Linked DNA regions of Caenorhabditis elegans. The protein of the gene in region 2 purifies or fractionates together with the protein of the main gene of each other region. This does not show direct contact. Each region holds a gene or a part of one and is shown on either strand. Other genes may lie near its edges.

Region 1 (3,757 bases), about 10 Mb from region 2:
CAATATTGTCAGCTGAAATCCAAAATAATCAGGCAACAAACTCATTACTTTTGCCTCTTCTTCCGCTTTCCTCAGGAGGTCTTGAGCAAAAAAGAAAACAAGCTTGTCAATTGTGATAAATGCTCGTTTTTTTCTGGTTCTTACTCCCTGTTGTTTTAACTCTGAAAATTGCTTGACTCTAATCCCTGCGCCTCTTTTAATCCTTTTCTCATTTTCCGGCATTTCGCAACCTTCAACTTTATGTCATTCTCTCTCTTTAGTTCCGATGCCCATCGGATCTTTATCTTCTGATTATATTGTCCTCCCCCTATTTTCCGATGGATTCGTTCCGCTCTCAATTATCCTGACCCGTGTTTCCCGTTCACTTACGGCCGAATAGCTGGTCCCCTTAATGCACTTTACACCCCTCTTTTCTCTATTTTCTACGCACTCTTTTCCTATTTTCTTGTCACCCTTCTTTTGGTTCATATATTCAAACAAAACCCGGGGACCCTCTATTCCACTCATTCTCTCCCGGTTAAGTCCCGTATGTCTCTCTGTCTCTCATTTACTTTACCAATGTTATTTATTCATGGTCATCCAAACAAAACGGCCGGTTCTTCGGGTCCTTTTTACGTAGAATAGCACTCTATAGCCTTCTATATTCAACTTTTCACCATCATCATCATCATCAATGACCATTTATTAAAGAAGTATTTTTAGATTTCTCACCTTTTCTTCCATTTTCGAATCTATTTGCATCTCTGCACCTTGTGCACCACATCCTCCCTCTAATCGTGGGAGTTTTCAGTATTTTAGTCCTTGTGCCACGTCAATCAAGATAGGGAAAAGAGCAGGCGGCTCACGGGAGCTTCTAGCTCAACAATCCGGGAGAATAAATGTCAGCTGTTCCTGGACGCGGGCATTTCTCTTTCTCGAGATTTGTCCCGACAGGGGGGGGGGAGGCTATCGATTTCGTTTTTATATTTATATCGTTTTGTTCATTTCTTCCGATGACATTCAAGAGAATAAAAACAAGAAATTGAATGTGATGATCGGAAAACAAATGTTTAATAATTTTCTGAATACTTTTAGCAGTTAGTAAATTGTTTTAAATTTACTTTCTTGATTTTCTCTCGAATTTTCACGATTTTTGTTTCATGGACAGTTCGTGGAAGTTATCTGCATTTGGCGCTAGCTTCTTGCCCAAATTTGGCTTGAAAAAAACTGGGCCAAAAAAGAAAAAACTTAGCGCTTTATTCCGGAATTATTAAACTTTATTAGGCTTTTTCAAAACATTGCCGAAATGTGGACAAGAACTTTGTATCAGAAACTAATTCCTTTTTTTTCTGTCTGTTTGTGGAAATTATTTTGTTTTCAAATATTTCGACGGCTCTTAGATTTCCATTTCCGTAATGTTTTACTTTAGAATTTTATTTCGTAAAATACTTTAAATAACCCCCATATGGTAATTTCTGGCAACTTAACTTGACAAATCGTGAGCGTATAAATCAAATAAGCTTTTGCTTGGTGCCACATACATAGTGCCCTCTATTTACCCGACTCACTTCCAAAATGGGAAGAATGCGTTTTTAAATGGAAGAAAGTAGTAGGTGACACGTCGGCAATGCGCGGCGAGATTTATGAGCCCCATCGGACATCTCTTCCTTCTTTCTTCGAAGATTTTCCAAAGCTCTTCCAAGGTTGCCTCTCTTGATACTTTTTCGGCTGGTCATTTTGAAGAAGGCGCTCCTTTTTCTTTGTGTGTGCTGCTCCCACAGCTTCTCCATGTCTACCCCCAACCATTTTAGAGAATATATTTGGTGCATTTGTCACTTTTCCCTCCTACCGCCTTCTTTCTTCGTCCAGCTTCATCTTTTCTTGCGCCCCATCTGTTTTCCATTCGACTTTTCTCATCTCTTCACGAAATATGCCATTCTCATCAACCACTTCCCCATTCGTTTTGCTTTTTTCTTATTGCGGTCCGATAGCCGTTTCATCGTTCAAAGATTCTCTTTTTCATTTATTTTTCTTATTTATTGAATTTAAATTTTCAGAGATGAAATAATGACATCATCATCAGAAGGAGAAATTCTTCAAGTTGGACAGGTCATCAGAGAACGATGGAAAATAGTGAGTTTCTATGTTTCAAGCTACGGAAACTAAAAGTTTTGGTTTCAGAAAGCGAAAATCGGTGGTGGTGGATTTGGGGAAATCTACGAAGCAACAGATGTTCAAAATCACCATGAACGGGTAGCGATCAAGGTATTTTTAGGATGTTTTTTTGAGAGAAATGTCTGCTTTTTTAATAGAAATACCCTAATTTTCCTGCACATGTATTAAATTTCTTTAAATTTTGAAAACCATTTTTTTTATCAATTCATTTTCAGGTCGAATCAAGCAAAGCAACAAAGCAAGTGCTCAAAATGGAGGTCGCAGTTCTTCGACGACTTCAAGGTTTGTTGGCTGTTTATGACGTATTTCGCTTTTTTTTTCCTAGTTTTTTTTTCAAGCCGTCATCAAAAATCTAATTACGCCTGTCTCGTTGGCATCTTAGCATCTCGTTTCTGAGAAATATTGAAAGAAACGGAAAATGAGAAAACAAAATCGTTTTACACAATAAAAACCTGTGATATAAAACCTCCTTGTTTCAGGAAAAAAACACGCGTGTAAATTCTACGGGTGCGGACGAAACGATAAATTCAATTATTTGGTAATGAGTCTGCAAGGAAAAAATCTGGCTGATTTGAGAAGAGAAGCACCGAAACAGTGCTTTAATTTGAGTACAGCAGTTCGTGTTGGAATACAGATTTTGAATGGAATTCGAGAAATTCATTCAATTGGATTCTTGCACAGAGATGTGAAACCAGTAAGTTAAAGTTTGAAGTTTTTTTGAAAAAAAAACAATTGAGAAATTGATTTTGCAAAAACTATTATCTTAAGGCCTAATGAAATTTTAGTCAAAATTATTTTTAAAAAATAGATGTCTGAAATAAATAAATATTAATCTGTAAATTAATCATTTTCAGTCCAACTTTGCAATGGGACGCACATCACAAACAATGCGAAACGTGTATATGCTTGACTTCGGTCTCGCTCGTCAATATCTGAATGCAAAAGGAGAAATCAGAAGTCCTCGAAGTGCAGCTGGATTCCGTGGAACAGTTCGATATGCAGCAGTAACTGCTCATAAAAATAAAGAAATGGGAAGACAAGACGATCTTTGGTCTCTTTTTTATATGCTCACTGAGTTCTTACAAGGACAATTACCATGGCGAAAGATTAAGGACAAGGATGAAGTGGGAAAAATGAAGGAAGAAGCCGATTTGGTTGTTCTTCTAGATGATTGCCCACATGAAATGCATCTTTTTGTTGCACATTTGAAAGTTTTAGGATATGCAGATACGCCTGATTATGTATACTTGGAATCACTTCTTAATAAGATTGTCGCTGAGTGAGTTTTTGAAAATATACAGTTGACTTCCATAAAAATCGTTGAAAATTTTGATTCGATGTAAAGTACCGTTTTTTAGTCACAAAAATTGATGCCTTTAAGGCGACCTACGCTTTCCCAATGCGTGCTTACTGCCTTTTAAAATGTTTTAGATGACCCCATATTATAGCAGATGCACTTATTGTCATAATAAACTCTTAAAATGTATTTTTCTAGAAATGAGATCAGTTGGGACGAACCGTACGACTGGGAATTAGGATACGACAACATGGCGACACGGCAAAAACAACAGGCGAATGGGAATTTGTCTGCTAGGCTGAAATC
Region 2 (3,757 bases):
CTCTGAACTAAATAAAAATTTCCCACATAAGCAACTAGTATGAAAATGGCCACTCGATCCACACCAATATTATAAACGTCTTTAAACTCCGTTCTTATATAATTATATGAATAGGTGTCCGGGAATAGACAAAAATATACTGATGCACTCCAAGCGAAACCAAAAAATATCACATAGAAAACCCAGAATACAAGCTTCCAACCAGTAAACCAAGATTCGAGAAGGTTAGCGCTGAGAAATCATATGTTCATTCTGTAAAATTTTGAATCAACTTACTTTACAAGAACCATATAGCGGTAAATAAATTGAACGGCAACGAATGAAATTAGAGAAGAATATAGTCCGGAGTACAAAACAAGAAGCATTTGAACTAAAGATTTAAATTCCGAAAGATCATTCGATAAACTAAAGTAGACAAAGGAAGCATTGAAATTATGAACAAATGGTCTTGCAAGCATTTCAGTACAGGAAAATATTAGTCCAAGTAATGCAAATAAAATTATCATGTACTTGTAAGCTCCAGTGATGTTTTTAGTGCGACGAGCAGTCAGATAGATCAAAAGGGAGTTGCACACCAATGCGGTAAGGAATGCGAATTCAGCAATTGTCCGGGATAAATCGCGAAGGTTCACCGTCATATTCGTAGAAATATGGTGTTCAATTATTATCAAAGAAGAATAAATATTGTATAGACAGTATATCATTTCCGGCAGAACCTTAATGGTGATGTGTTATATCCGTTGTAGACTTGTTTGTTCGTTTAGATAATTGTTGTGGTTGCATGCTCAGAAGTAAGAATTAGAGCTTGTACAGTGCATGTCACTGTTATGGGAGTCCCATGGGATCAGAGCTGTGCGGCAAATTTGCCCAATTTGCCGTTCTGCCAAGCTCGGTAAATTTCGAAAAAGTGGATTTGCCACATTTTCCGAGCCAGGGAAAATTTTAAAAATTTGCCGAACACACCACAAATTGGATTTTGAAAAATTTGATAGGAAATATTGAGTTAAAAAAAAACAACAGTAAAATTACATAAAATGAGTGAAATAGGCGTTGTTCAAAACTCTTTTGGTGCTCCTAGAAATATCAGAAATGTTCTCATTTTTCGGAGTTTGCCCAGCACGGCAAATGTGGGATTTGCCACACACTCCAGAGACATTTTTAATTTACTGAAGATTTTCAGATTCACACTCACAATATATATTTTTAATTGCTTCGATCACTAAAAGAGAAAATATACAATGTTCGCAGTCGACATCGATCGAGGACCGAGATGAACTCACATTATCCACTTTTTGGGTATTGCAGTAGCTTGAATACGGAGTCATTTCAGGTACAAAAATGGTCTTGTAACTTGGTGAGTCAAAAGAGCAGCTGACATTATTCCAGGATTGCGAAAACGTTTTCCACACTTGGTAATTTTCTGAAGTAACTAATTTTCCTAACACTACCTTAGCTTGGGCTTCCATGGGAGGCATGTACGGTTTTTTGACACTTGCCTCCAACCTTATCATGCCGGCCTGCATCCTGGCGTAAAATCAAATGCTTGGTGTTTGCACCACGTAGTGCGTAAGGTGGTTCGCTCGCCGCGGCCAACACTTTTCGGGTTTCGCGCCGCACCATACATCAGGCGCGAGGCAGGCAGGCGTTTTCATGGAAACCCTAATTTTAGCCATGCTTTTGAATTACTGTATGTGCTACCATCATGTTACGTTATACCTTTGTTCATGTTTTTATACGTAAGTAGACAGGACCGGAACTATAGATCTGGTCAACATAGGCTAATTTCCGTAACATTTTTATTCGAGAAGCTCCATAAACAGAATAAGATATAAAAATGAAATACAATACTTTCTAGCATATGATATTTTTTGGAGAACGAAAAGTGGAAATAATCACTATATATTCTACTGAATAATAGTTATTGCGATGAAATCAAAATCTACCTTTTAATAATTGTCAGAGTTTCTCCAAAATGTCTGGATCTTATCTTTTTTGGATTCATGTGACCCATTTTATTCCAAAACTTGGATTTGTTGCAACATTTATGTTTGGCATGTGTCTACTGTCCTTGAACTATCTCGGTGCTCAGAAAAATTTCGGATCTTACAAGTACCTGATCACTGCATTCACAATGCTGGGAATGACTTTTGCGACAGTAGAAATTATAGTGTACCCGGTAATAATATGCTTTGTGGGAAACATGTGTAAGTATAATTGTTTCAGAATGTTCACAACTACAAAGCCAGCTTTCTGTTCTATAGTTTTGAGGAATCTTTTGGTTTACGTGGATCGTGGTCAAGAAATATTCCTCTGGGTTAGGCAAAACTTTTTTTTTTACTTTAAAATTCAATTTTTTTTTCAGCAATTTACACATTTTTCCATTCCGCAACCATGTCTCTATTATCAGTGCAATTCATTTATCGATATTGGGCAGTTTTTGAGTAAGAAATTTCACAAATTCAGAAATTCGATTTCAAATTCGAAACAATTCTAAAAATTTCAGCACGAACAAACTTGCATACTTCGAAGGATGCAATTCTCTTTTTTGGTTTTTCTATTGCGCATTTTTTGGCTTTCAATATGCTCTTGGTACCTACTTTTTCTTAGCAAGAGACGAAATAACAGATGACTACCTTCGTGAAGATATGCTTCTTAGATATAATGCGAATATAACTGAGATCCCAGCAATGGCAATAGTTGCCTATGATCCTGTGGATGGATCAGTAAGATGGAGAAATGTTATAGGAATATTGAACATTTGCTCAATTGTCAACTTTCAATATGGTGTCATGATCTACTGCGGATGGTCGATGCACACAAAAATGGAAGATAAAATTAAGAATTTTTCGGAGACTCTTAGAAAACTCCACAAACAGTTTTTCAAGACTCTGGTGCTCCAGGTTAATAGTTACTCCTGATTATATTTTCCTAATACACATGAAGTTCAGATAACAGCTCCTACAATCATATTATTCATTCCCATCACAATTATAATATTTCTTCCTCTGTTCAACTTAGACGTCAGTCTTCCATCTGGTGTCATGCTATGCAGCTTCGCATTGTATCCTCCCACTGATTCATTCATCGTCATGTTCGTTGTGTCGGAGTATAGAAGTACTGCCAAAAGTGAGCATGTTGAAATAACAAAAGTACTTAATCATCATGTTTTAGGAACTCTAGCAACTTTTTCAAACGGCATCAAAAAATTTAAACAGTCTAGAGTTGGTGGAATTCCATCTGGAACTATAAGTTCTCGTTACATTGCCTCATGACTTCTTAGCATTAAAAATTGATCTCTTCTCCCCGCAACTTCACGGAATATCTTTTAGTTCGTTTATGGCTCATTGGCATTTTCTTTCTCTATAGTTTTTTTTTTTTACCCGTTTACATTCCATCCCCAACTAGAAAAGGAACCCTTTTTGGTTCTAATAATCTTTAATAAATGTTTTTATCTGGAAACACTGCAAAATTCCAATTAACTAATTTGGAGAATGAAAAATAATTTTTGAAATTTGCCGCACCCTCCTGAAACATATTTATTTAACTGAAAGTTTTCAGACTCCTCCTTATGGATTTCAAAAACATTTTCAAATAGAGTCTGGAAATGTTTTCTGTGTTGTTTCATTTTTACCTCAAATCTGCGTGTTTCACCTGTCATCGAAAAATATTGTTGTATATAAATTTATATCCAACTTGTTTTCTCTCGGCTTGAATTTCCATTTCCCACAAATTTCGCATTTTCTTTTAGAACTCAAAT
Region 3 (3,506 bases), on a different chromosome or scaffold from region 2:
TCCTAATAGACGGCTTCTCCGTTTAGCTTCTTTAATTTATTTTATTGTTTTTCGGCAAAGTGGTTCCCTTCAGCTCTTTATTCATTGATTTTAAGTTTTAGATGGTGTTCCAACCAATCCACGAGGAAGAGCAAGTTTTCGTCGACTACGCCATTGAGTTGGTTAAAAAAGCTGGAACGGTGAGTTGAATTCGGATTAAAAAATCAAACTGTTTCCTAAAACAACAACGTCGTTATTATCTTTGTCTTATTTTTGTTAATTTTACAAATATGCACATTTAAATCAAATGCGTAACTCGAAAAACAACATTCTCTATTCCTCAGTTACGAAACAAATTTTATTATTTGAAAAAACATCAATATTCGAAAAAAACATTTTCAGCTCGTCCGTACCGCGTTTGACTCCCCGGAAAGCAAGGTTGACACAAAATCATCGAATACTGATTTGGTGACTGAAACTGACCAAGCTGTTGAAAAGCTTCTCATCGAAGGGCTCTCCGAGAGATTCAAAGGACATAGGTAAGAGCAAGGAATTCCCACGGTCCGCTCGATTTCACTCATTGTCTCCATGACAACCAGTTGGACTTTCTTTTTCAATCGAGTATTTACATAAATTTACTATTTTGATTCAGATTCATTGGCGAGGAATCTGTAGCCGGAGGTGCGAAAATTGAATGGACTGATGCACCAACATGGATTATTGATCCGATTGATGGAACTACTAACTTTGTTCATAGGTAAGATTTTTTTTAAATCGGACTCTTCAAATAATGGCAAATCGCGTTATTTAATTTCTAATTTGGACTCAAATTTTTCTCGAAAAACAAATTCTTATGTTATTATAGAATCCCTATGATCGCAATCTGCGTTGGACTTGCAATCAAAAAACAAATTCGTGCTGGAATCGTATACAATCCAATCACTAATGAACTTTATCTCGCTCAACTCGGAAAGGGAGCTTTCAAAAATGGATTTCCAATCCGAGCATCAAAGAATCAATGTAAGTAATTGCACTTTTCTTGTCATGCACCCTGCTTTTTGAAGTGCTTTCAAAGGGAGTTCTCTGTCAATCTCTCGGTCTGCATAATCGTGTTCAGTTCGGCGATCGCTGGCTCGACATTGCCCAGTCAAACATGCGAAATCAAGTGATGGCTGGTGTGCGAGGGTTTGTTTTAATTTTTTGGTCTAAAATTGATTACTTTTTTACAAAAAATATACCTCCACACTTCCCGCGCTGGTTTTGCACGTTTTACTTTCAATTTTATTTACATTCACATAGAAACGTTGCAAATTCCAGTCATTGCGGAAAGTGTGCTCATACTTCAACTTGGCTCAATTCGATCTCCTGTTATGCAGAAATCATTTGTTGATTCTTACAAGACTGTTATGTTCGACAAACAATGTCACGGGTACTTATAAATATTTTTTATATTCTTGTCGAAATCTAGTGACTTTCTTGAACTGTGCGTTTGCAAATTTTTTGAAAGTTTTACTAAAATTGAGAAATGGATAAGATGGAAAAGTTAGATGTTGGATGGACAAAGTTTAATATGAAAAAAATCACGAGGATGATGTGATATTATTATTTTTAATATTGTTATACATAATAAAAGTTATTTGAAAAAAATCCAAGTTTTTTTTTCAGACACCGTTCGTTTGGCTCCGCCGCGATCAACATGGTGATGGTTGCACAAGGAAGTTGCGATGGATATGTTGAATACGGGATTCACGCTTGGGATGTTGCTGCTCCTTCTATCATTGTCACAGAAGCCGGAGGTGTTGTCACTGATCCAACTGGATCCCCATTTGACGTCATGTCAAGAAAAGTTCTCTGCGCTGGAACAGCTGAACTCGGACGCGATTTATCTGCATGCCTCACTCATGTCGATTTCGAGCCGGAAGCCTAAATATATATTTAACTATTTATTTTCAAAACTCACATATTGTGACATAACATTCCTACCATAACATGCATTATCTGTATTTCCAATTTAATATTAGTTTTTTGATTTTATTTTCTAGTCGTATGTATTCTCGTTTTATGAGAATAAATTATTTAAAGATGTTTATATCTTAATTTCTGATACTTCAATTGCCGTTTGAGCGCACTTGATTTATTTATACTGTCTCTTTTTTAATAATTAAACTCAATATTCAGCTCTCACAAGCTCAACATCATGGCTTTGGCAGAGGAGGACGTTCACATGATCATCAAGCAGGTACCGATATTTTATATGTCTACTGTATTAATTCTTTGAAAAACTATAATTTTTGAGTTGATTATTGTTTATTCACATTCTCGTAATCCAATAATCTTTCAGGTACTCGACGAGGTTGTAGGCGCAAGCACCCAGTATACCCACAAGGACAGTGTTCAGTGGAATCAGAAGGCCGTCGAACAAATAACGAAGAAGCTAGTGGCAGCGGGAAAACCATACAAATATGTGGTTACCTCGTCGTTCCTTCAGATCTCGAGCGGTTCCGGTCTCAATGTTAGCACGATTTCCTACTGGAATAAAGTCACGGATTGTGAGTTAACATTTTGTATTAAAACATTAAATAATAAAGAGGGAAATAAATTTATTACTCACAAAGTTCTGATTTTGAAAGTTGGTATTCAACTTATAGCTCAAAAAATCTCATTTTCAGCCTCGTACATGTACCGTTGGGAAGCCAAAACAATGCTTGCAATCGTCTATGTTTTTGCAATTGCAATTTAACAATCCACAGCTTCATCTTATATGTCTACTCTGGTTTTCCTCGTTTACCGCCAATTCTCCCCTTATTTCTGATTGTTTTTTTCTTCCCCATTCATCACACACTATCATGTTTTATATTCAGACCTATTACCTGTCCAGAAAAACTGAGCTGAAAAAATCCGGACGAGCAGCTCCTTCACATTCAAAATCTTCCATCATTTCCCCCACTCAATTCATTTGTTTTGTCTTTGATTTTCAAATTTTTTGCCTTATTATTTTATTGCTAAATTAATGAAAACTGTTACTCCTCATTTTGACCGTCGCACTCATTGAAGGTAGTTCGAGATTAGATGTTCAGATAACTTGCGGGACGCGTTAGGACACAAAACAAGTGCGTCAGATCAGCCAAAATGCTTCCACGAATAATTCCATCGGTTCTGTCTGTGGTATTACTTTTTTCGTTTTTATTTTTTGTAACGGCAGTCTTACTTCAATTTATGTAAGTATTGATAGTTAAAAATTATCACCGTTCAAAAATGATTGAAACGATAAATTTCCAGTCGAATCGATTCACCAGATCTTGAAAATGAAGAAGTATTTCATTCGGCACCTTATGATATATTCATTTATTCTGCATTTTATTATAATAAATCAAAAAGTCTCGGAGATTCTTCAATGGTTATTCTGATGACTGCTGATTTTGAAGTTTTGGAAAAAGTTAAAAATCTTGAACTTTTGGGCATAAATGACACGAGTCGAGCTATGACATCTGCTGAATTGGAAAGGTTTGTGTATTTAATTTCTTATT

Evidence for each region.
Region 1: the proteins of str-13 (region 2) and ttbk-7 fractionate together in Caenorhabditis elegans (co-fractionation; one large-scale study listed by BioGRID). This does not show direct contact.
Region 3: the proteins of str-13 (region 2) and dylt-1 fractionate together in Caenorhabditis elegans (co-fractionation; one large-scale study listed by BioGRID). This does not show direct contact.

The regions. Positions count from the first base shown.
Region 1 is NC_003283.11:12,894,152-12,897,908, reverse strand, and holds the start of ttbk-7 (Protein kinase domain-containing protein), read left to right. Parts: upstream 1-2,036; 5' UTR 2,037-2,046; coding exon 2,047-2,112; intron 2,113-2,160; coding exon 2,161-2,244; intron 2,245-2,369; coding exon 2,370-2,436; intron 2,437-2,633; coding exon 2,634-2,848; intron 2,849-3,008; coding exon 3,009-3,433; intron 3,434-3,649; coding exon 3,650-3,757.
Region 2 is NC_003283.11:2,725,417-2,729,173, reverse strand, and holds str-13 (Seven TM Receptor), read left to right. Parts: upstream 1-1,972; coding exon 1,973-2,176; intron 2,177-2,223; coding exon 2,224-2,314; intron 2,315-2,362; coding exon 2,363-2,441; intron 2,442-2,503; coding exon 2,504-2,900; intron 2,901-2,948; coding exon 2,949-3,126; intron 3,127-3,171; coding exon 3,172-3,272; downstream 3,273-3,757. Other genes in the region: G-protein coupled receptor str-33, read right to left, coding at 27-231, 277-638.
Region 3 is NC_003279.8:7,299,565-7,303,070, reverse strand, and holds dylt-1 (DYnein Light chain (Tctex type)), read left to right. Parts: upstream 1-2,157; 5' UTR 2,158-2,176; coding exon 2,177-2,218; intron 2,219-2,320; coding exon 2,321-2,528; intron 2,529-2,648; coding exon 2,649-2,719; 3' UTR 2,720-3,006; downstream 3,007-3,506. Other genes in the region: Inositol monophosphatase ttx-7, read left to right, coding at 102-179, 382-518, 632-736, 845-999, 1,044-1,164, 1,645-1,906; BAH-4 (Glycosyltransferase family 92 protein F13G3.3), read left to right, coding at 3,109-3,197, 3,259-3,483.